Macaca fascicularis: one gene and its partner. The protein of the gene in region 2 purifies or fractionates together with the protein of the main gene of each other region. This does not show direct contact. Links are inferred from orthologs where the notes say so. Each region holds a gene or a part of one and is shown on either strand. Other genes may lie near its edges. The genes, in order: HOXB6 and ANKRD17.

The links.
Region 1: the proteins of ANKRD17 (region 2) and HOXB6 purify together in Homo sapiens (co-immunoprecipitation; 3 studies listed by BioGRID and IntAct, with this or other methods). This does not show direct contact. The link is inferred for Macaca fascicularis from reciprocal best matches to the Homo sapiens genes ANKRD17 and HOXB6.

What each region holds. Positions count from the first base shown.
Region 1 is NC_088390.1:58,121,611-58,125,269, reverse strand, and holds the end of HOXB6 (homeobox protein Hox-B6), read right to left. Parts: intron 3,227-3,659; exon of another isoform or gene 3,195-3,226; coding exon 2,702-3,194; intron 1,648-2,701; coding exon 1,388-1,647; 3' UTR 757-1,387; downstream 1-756. UniProt on the Homo sapiens protein: Sequence-specific transcription factor which is part of a developmental regulatory system that provides cells with specific positional identities on the anterior-posterior axis.
Region 2 is NC_088379.1:60,726,236-60,730,801, reverse strand, and holds the start of ANKRD17 (ankyrin repeat domain-containing protein 17), read right to left. Parts: upstream 3,024-4,566; 5' UTR 2,863-3,023; coding exon 2,458-2,862; intron 1-2,457.

The DNA of each region.
Region 1 (3,659 bases), on a different chromosome or scaffold from region 2:
ACTTGCCCTCTGGGTGCCGGTACAAGCAGAGAGAGAATGGGCCATTCCCGGTTGAGAGGATGACACTAAATGCCCCATCACCTGGCCTCCTGCCCTGGGGTCTCCAAGGAGCAAGGGAAAGTTGTGCCCTTCGGCCTGTGCCTGGCTGGTGGCTTTACATTCCCCTGCTTGAGGCTGATCTCCTACTTGAGGCTGACCTCCTATTTGAGGTGGGAAGGGGCACCTGGAGCCTTCAGCTACAGGGCGAGAGATACCCAGTGGCCCCGTTTTTTAGTCTCCGGAGCCACAGGCCAGGAGCGGAGGGCCAAGGCTGGCAAAAAAACCTGGCCATGTGGACGGGCCAAAGGCCAGGGGTCTCTGCGAAGGTGAGCACAGGAAAGTGCTGCAGAGGCCCCCAGACTCGATGGCTCCGTCTCCGCAAGAGAGCTTTAGGGGCCTCAGTGGCTCCCTTAGTGCTGTGGACACAGGAGGAGAGGCTAGAGAATGAGAGGGAAACAGCCCCTCTCCATCCCCCAAGTCTGCTCGGGGAGAGGCGGCTGTGAGCCTCAGCACCAGGGAAACGCAGCGCTGGGGCCTGGGCAGGACTGATCGCTCCAGCCTTTATCTCAGCTGTAACTTCCCAGTCGAACAGGGCTCGCTTCAGCGGGCCAGGGCTCTCGCTTTTGCTGAAGAATTCTGGCTCAAGACAGATGGAGAGGCTGGGGGTTGAGGGAAGAGTGAAAAACGGCAGGGGAGGATTGGAGGTGACCCAGCGTCGAGTTTTCACATCTTTATTATTGTTATTATTATTATTATCATCATCATCGAAGTATTTCACGTCCCGAGCTAAGACAAGACTACAAACACAACACATAGAAAATTAATAAAATAGAACTTTGTTTTCTTCTGAGGCTCCTCTTCTTACTTCTAGGTAGTATGTGCTCCTTCCAGTGGCTTTGGGGAGGGGGTGGGAGAGACGACAGGTCTGGGATCAGGGAGTCTTCAAGGCCTCCGCTGAGGGGACAGCGAATCTACCATTGAACCGTGCATGGGGGACATGGACGAAATGAGACGCGACAGGGACAAGAGCATTTTGCTCTGCTTCCAGGAAACATCAAGTGAGTCCGATCCTCAGTTCTCACCAGGAAGCCTGATCAGGCTGAGGCGAGTTCCTCGGGAAGGAAGGGCGCGCAGGGTGCTGGGTGGGCTCGAGTAGTGAGGCCTCAGAGCACCCACCGGGAGCTGTGCGGGCGGGGGCGTCCAGGAGAGAGCTGGGCCTCGCCTGTCGTGCGCTGGAGAGCAGGTCTCCTGGCTCCCCCACCCGAGAGCCTTCCTTCCCGGGTCTCTCCGACCCTCTCGGCTCCCCACAGGCCTTTCCCCTCGCGTCCTCCCTCCCTTTCCAGCACCTTCACTCGGCCGGTTTTTCTTCCTCCTCCTCGGCACTGAGCTGAGACGCGCTGAGCAGTTTGCTCTCCTTTTTCCACTTCATGCGTCGGTTCTGGAACCATATCTTGATCTGCCGCTCAGTCAGGCACAGGGCGTGCGCGATCTCGATGCGCCGCCGCCGCGTCAGGTAGCGATTGTAGTGAAACTCCTTCTCCAGCTCCAGCGTCTGGTAACGCGTGTATGTCTGGCGGCCTCGCCGGCCACTGGGCCCAAAGGAGGAACCTGTTACGCAGAGTGGAGATGCTGAGGCCTGGGGTCACCGGGCCCAGGGCCCCCTCCCCTAGTCGACCCTCGAACACAGACTCCAGCCAGTACAGGGATACCCTCCACTCTGCCGGTTCCCTTCCCCCCTTTCGCACTCCTCCAGCGCCCCCTCCAGATTCCCTCCTGGTCTCCTAGGCCTGTGCCGTCAGTCTAGATGGGGGAAGGGAGGAGCAGTTTGAACTCCCACCTGAGCCTGGGGGGAGGGGCTGGTCAGGTGTGTCTCTTCCTAGTTGCATCTTGTCTTTCCCTGGCTTTCCATCCATCTTTCTCCCCAACCCCCATTCCGCCAACCCAGTGATAAATCCAGGCCCTTAATCCGTAATGACGTAGATCGATCCATAGTCCACATTAACGGCTCCTCACTTTCGAGTCCGGCTAATGGACATCAGTTGGGACTTAAGGCCAACAAATAATCCAACCTGAGACCCCGCGCCTGTTTCTTCCTCTCTCGCTCCGCCTGCTCCCTCTCTCTTCCTTCCCCTTATTCCTCCTCCCTCCTCTGATTACCACTCCTTTCCTGGTGCCTCATCTTGCCCCAGCCCCCCACCCTCAGGGAAACACAGTCCCAGTCAGACTCAACTCTTCCTCTTCAGCGTCACCTCCTACCCCCTTGCATGACGCACTCCGTTTTTAATGGAGCCGTCTTTGGTTGGGGAACCCTACCAGGGCTGGGAGAGGGGGGCTGGGGGCGCAAAGTAAAGCCAAGCCCGTGATTGCGGGCCCCTGCTCCCTTTCCTGTCCTGGAACCCCGGCTCTGGCCAGGGGCCCCAGGAGAGCACACTCGCTCCTCATTACTCCCAGTGCGGCTGAGACTTTGCAAACTTTGTAACTCCTGCCTAATAGGAGACACAGCGAGAGATCCCGGGCAGGCACCCAATCTTCTTCTATCTTCTAACTGAGATGCCCACCCAGCACCCTGTGGGAGATTGGGGCAGGGGGCGCTCACTAGTTCTGTGTCCCGGGGTGGGGGCCCAGGGGAGTCAGGGCTACGGCGACGGGAAGTCTCACTCACTGTTGCACGAATTCATCCGCTGCATCCACGGATAGACCGGAGTGGAGCACTTCTGCTCTTCTGTCTCGCCGAACACGCTCTTGTCCTGCGCGCAGTCCGACTTCCGCGGCTCGGGGTGGAACGGGGGCGGCTCTTCGGCGCCCGAGAGTGCGCAGGCCGACTCCTTCTCGCGGTAGAAGGCCGGCGCCGGCCCGTAGTCGCAGGGCGCCGCTCGGCCGTAGCCACCGCCCGCCGGCGGGTAATAGGAGGAAGTGGCAAAGCCCTTGTCCTGGCCCGGCCCTGGCCCATAGGGCGCGGGGTAATGCCTCAGCGGGTCCGCATAGCCCGACGAGTAGAGCGGTAGCTGGCCCAGGAAGGACTCCTGCCCGCTGGCCAGAGTGACGGGGAAGGTGGAGTTCACGAAATAGGAACTCATTGGGAGGGGAGGCGCGCGCGGCCGCTGCTGCTCCGCCGGGTTTATGATTTGTTGTGTTTTATAGTCCGAGCGCCGCGCCTATTAGTAGTATATCCGAGATTGGGTTTTAGCTGAGGGGGGATGGCGAGGTGCCAGTGAGGGCCAGAAGGAAATACAACCATCTGATCCAACACTGACCAATGGCAGAGGCAGGAATTGTCAAATAGCACCCAGGAGGAGCGCAGCCCGCACGAGGGACCCGCGCACAAACCTATCAACCTTTTTTTTCCTCCTTCTCCTTCGCCTTTCTCTCTCTCTCTCCCCAACAACACAGCGCGTCCTGTTCCACCTACGTAGGATCTGTGAAACAGGCTCTGTGCCTTTGAGGGAGGAGGGAGCGTTTAGATTGAGACCACCCCACTCCTGGGTGATTAAATAAATATATCTCTCCCCCACCCCACGCAGGATTGGAAAAAGTTAATTGTGTTTTCAGAAAAGTTAACCCCTGCGTTGCTTGGGCCCCTTCTCTCCAGGGAGGGGTGGGTACATGTCTCCGAATCTCCT
Region 2 (4,566 bases):
CCGGGTTCAAGCAATTCTTCTACCTCAGCCTCCCAAGTAGCTGAGATTACAGGCACCTGCCACCACGCCTGGTTAATTTTTTTGTATTTTTAGTAGAGATGGGGTTTCATCATGTTGGCCAGGCTGGTCCCGAACTCCTGACCTCAGGTGATCCACCCGCCTCGGTCTCCCAAAGTGCTGAGATTACAGGCGTGAGCTACCGCGCCCGTCCAATGGGTACACTTTCTTACACGTATTTCTCCTGACTCATCTTCATAACAAATGACAAACCCATTGTTTAATACCATGTAAGACAGGATAAGGTATGTTAAAAACATAGAAATACTACCATAGCTGGTCAAAGTCAACATAATCATTCCTATATTATAAAAGGAAAACAAACCTGACCCACAAAATAAACATACCTACAAACTTACAGCCATTCTTCATGATTTAAGGAATTACTAAAAAGTTCTGCTTATTAGGCTGTATTCCAATGGACAAAACTACCTAGGTATGTGAAGTTTGCAGCAGAATATCCCAGTGAGTAGTGCATTCAACTATCATAACCTGGCTCTAAACCAGAGCTGAATATTTTCAGGAGAATTTAAAATTTTAAGTAATGGTATTCTGCCTACAGCTGCATGATTGTGTTACCTTGCCATTCAGTAACTATTTTTCTGAATGATGTCAGAAGGGTGATAAAAGGAAATAAATTATCATTAAAAAGTGTACAGGTCTGAGCCATTAGAAAACTTTGATTTCTACTTTTGCTACTACCCACCACAACCACCTTCCTCTAAACCTTGTTTTCCTCCTTTTTAAAACAAAGGGTTGACTTATCTGTAAAACGTTTCTCACCTTTGAGAAGAATCATACAATTGAATGATTCTAAGTACCGTAACAAATTTTATTAGGGATAAGGATCCCATCACATCTTTCTCTTCCTTGTTTCACATGCAGCCAGAGCAACACACTATTCTAAACATCCAAGTAGGCCAATATAAGTCTATCAATATAAACCTATTCTCAGAATCCAACAGGCTAAAAGGGAATAGAAACAAGGAGGGGCATATTTTTGTCATGCATACTTGAACACTTAATATCTCTACCTACGTAACTTCATCCAGTCTGAGATAAAAGAGAGTCTGGTCTTCTACAAATAGACATGTGTCAAATCCTTTAAAAGGTACTTCCCTATTTCAACAGAGACCAGGATTCAATAAATCCAATGTTCAGAAAACCAGACTTGCATCAAAATAAGTTCCATGTTTGTGGAAGAGAATAAATAGTGTTAGTTCTAGACGAATCAGTTGGTCTCCTCTTAGAACTAAGTTTAAAATCAGTCTTCAAAGCTGTTTTCCCTCTGCTGATAAAGATTTCCCTCTCCAGATAAAGATTTTTCTAGATTCTATTTCAGGAAGGAGACAAGAGAGTGATAAAAGAGCTAATAACTAGTAAAGCTAACTCAGTTGGTTGTCAGTATGGTATGTTTTACTGAGCCTTTGGGTTGTAAGGGCTTCTATGAGGAATAAGGTCCTGCAACGCCGCCTGTCTGTGGACCCAAGAAAAATTACAAAGTTATTATGAAACCAGATCACTAGGACAAACCGAGAGGCCTTCCTATTCCAACTCACCACAACCAGGCCTGGCTCCAAAGCCGACTCTTTGGCTGTCCCATAGTATGGGACAACAGGTCCTAGCTTAATTCTAATTCACTAACGAGACATTTGAAGACATGTATGTACGTGTAAGGATCAAATATATTTTTCATCCACTTACAAATGTATATGGTCATTTATAATTATTTAGAGTTACTGATAAATGTATACAAATACAGCATCAGCTCATCGAAAATCCTTGGAAGATCGAGGAAGTGAAGTTACTTCAGCAGCCAGGATAGTTACGAAAAACCCTGCAGAACAGTATGGAAAAGTACAGCTTCTCACGTGTCCCTCACATACACAAACACTTAGCTCTGAGTCCATTACAACCTTACGTCCCCCTCAAACTGCTCCCCTCCATCTCACAGCTGGGAGAAGTTGAACAACCTCCTAGTTGGTCCCCAAGAGACTCATCTACCTATTATTTTACTCCTCCCGCTTTGATCCCGATCCCGTCCCAGACTAAGGTGGCCCTACTGGCCCCAGGCAGATCACCCCCCCCCCCCACCCCCCGGCGTGCAAACTGGGAATCTAACCAATTCCCTCCATCCTTAACCATGTGAGCCATGCCATGATAACAGGCTGTTCACCAACTCTGTGAACTCCGTGGTCCTCCCACCCCCACGTGTCAGCTACCCTCCCCCACATTCCCACACCTCACGATTTAGGCCGAGGGAAGAAAGGGGGCAGTCGAAAGCCTGGCCCCTAAGAGATCAACCCACTGGAATCTGTCCCACTGAAAGTCCCCTCCCACCTTCGGCCCCTATCCCTTACAGTCCCTTCCTCCCTCCTTCCTTGGAAACCAGGCCCTTGCCTCAGAAACCTCCTCTTCCTCGTCGTCGTCGTCCTCTTCTTCCTCGCTGTTGTTACTGCTGGTGCCGCCGCCGCCACCTCCGCCTCCACCGCCGCCTCCACCGCCGCCTCCACCGCCGCCGCTGTTGTCGCTGTCGCTGCTGCTTTCGCTGCTGCTAGGGGGTCGGCAAGTCCGGTTACGCTTGGCCTTGTGGTGCTGCTGCTGCTGCGGCTTCTTCTTCAGGAGCAGGTCGCAGACTCGCACCATCCCACGAGGAGACGAGGCCGAGCGAGCTCCGCTGCTGCCGCCAACGCCGCCGCCGACCTCCGCCGCCGCGGGGGGGCCCGCCACAGCCGCCACCGCCGGGGGGCTCCCTTCTCCTTCTGCAGCCGTCGCCGCCGCCACCGGAACCGTCGCCTTCTCCATCCCCAGGGAAAGAGGGAGGGCGCGGACGGGGGAGGGGCGTGGGGGCTACGCTCTACCGCGACTTCGGCCGCACTGGGGCCGACACAGCAATCGGTGCCGTCTCCGCCGCCACCGCCTCGGTCACCTCTACTGCCGCCGCCGCCGCCGCTCCGCCAGCTCTCACCTCGTCTCGCGATACTAAGGGCGGGGAGCCTGACGATGGGAGGGAGGGAGAGGGAGGGAGCAAGGGAAGGGGGTGAGGCGTTTAAGAGGGATACCGGGTGTCGGGAGAACCAGAGAAGAGGAGACTAGAAAGCCGGGGAAGTGTGCCTGGGGCACGTTCCGAAGGGGAACGGCGGGGACAGATAAGGGGGGCGCGATTGCAGCCGGAGCGCCCGCGAGCTCCCGGATTTCTTCTCTTTCCTCTCTATTTCCCGCACACACAGCCCTGCAGCCCTCCCTTCTTCCTTCCTGGCTTGTGATTAGAACGCAGCCGCAGGCGGAAGTGCAGTGACGCCATCAGCCGTCGCCTGAGCCGTGGGGCGCGGGCGGCCGAAAGGCGAAAGTGAGATTTCGAGGGCCGGGTCTGGGGCCCCGCGGGCGCGCTGTGCTACGATGTGTGGGGAGTACGGGGAGGCTGGAGAGGAGCCGGCCCCGGGCAGTGTGAGGTGCGGAAGCGCGGTCCAGACACTTTGTTGACGGGAGGCCAGTCAGCCAGATCCGGGAGGTGGGGCCTCGTTCTGGACTGCTGTACGTAGTTTTATTCCTGGTCGTTTTTTTCGACCGCCAAATCTAGAGATAAAGCTTTGGATCATGAGAGATGGCGTCGTGTTGGGAAAAGAGCCTTCGTTACCTAAGTTTAAGCTTGGCTCATAGACATCCTCTACGAGTTTACACGTGTGTAATATGAAGGCAGTCGATTAGGAGATGTCTAAGATCATTACACCTCAAGTTTACGAGGGGAGGAAGACACGGGAAGGATGCGTGGTCTGTGCCAGACTTTGTAGACGATTCTCTGAATGACCCTGATTTAGCTCTTCTGGCCCTCTTAGATTCAACTTGGAAGCAGGCATAAATAATGATTATTGTCAGTATGCTTCTCTCGGAAGGAATATTGTGATGGGGGTTGTGGGTTCATTTTTAGGTGTCTAAAGAACTTTCAGGACTTTTGAAATGATAGTGGAGCCCATTGAACTCAGAATTATCCCTTTCTGGTCTAGTGGGAGTATAGTGGCATAAGGAAAATGAAGCAAACATCAAAGACAGATGTACTGGCACAAGATTAAAAGTATGTCTCAGCTGACATAGTTGCCATTTTAAGACTGCTAAGTTTAGCTGAATATGCCTGGATTTTTTTTTTTTTTTTAGCATTTTTTTCTTTTTAGCATTGGCATACCATATGAAATGTGGGCAGTTGCCAGTACTCTACAGAGTACCATGGCAGAATTGGCAATGACTAAATCAATTCATTCAAACAAAAATTCATCATGTGCCTACTGTGTGCATAATTTGTGGAATCAAAGTCTCTGTTTCCAGGGGCTTTACAGTGTAATAACTGCTATAGTAAATATATATGCAGAGTGGTAACCATCTGCCTATTCCTCTCCTACAGTCGTTGCTGAGTCCAGTGTAGAACAAAGCACTGCATTGTGTATCTCACCACTACTGATTTAGATTTTATAATTTCAGCTGCATCCCTCCCTCCTGCTTTGTATATTCTTCAGC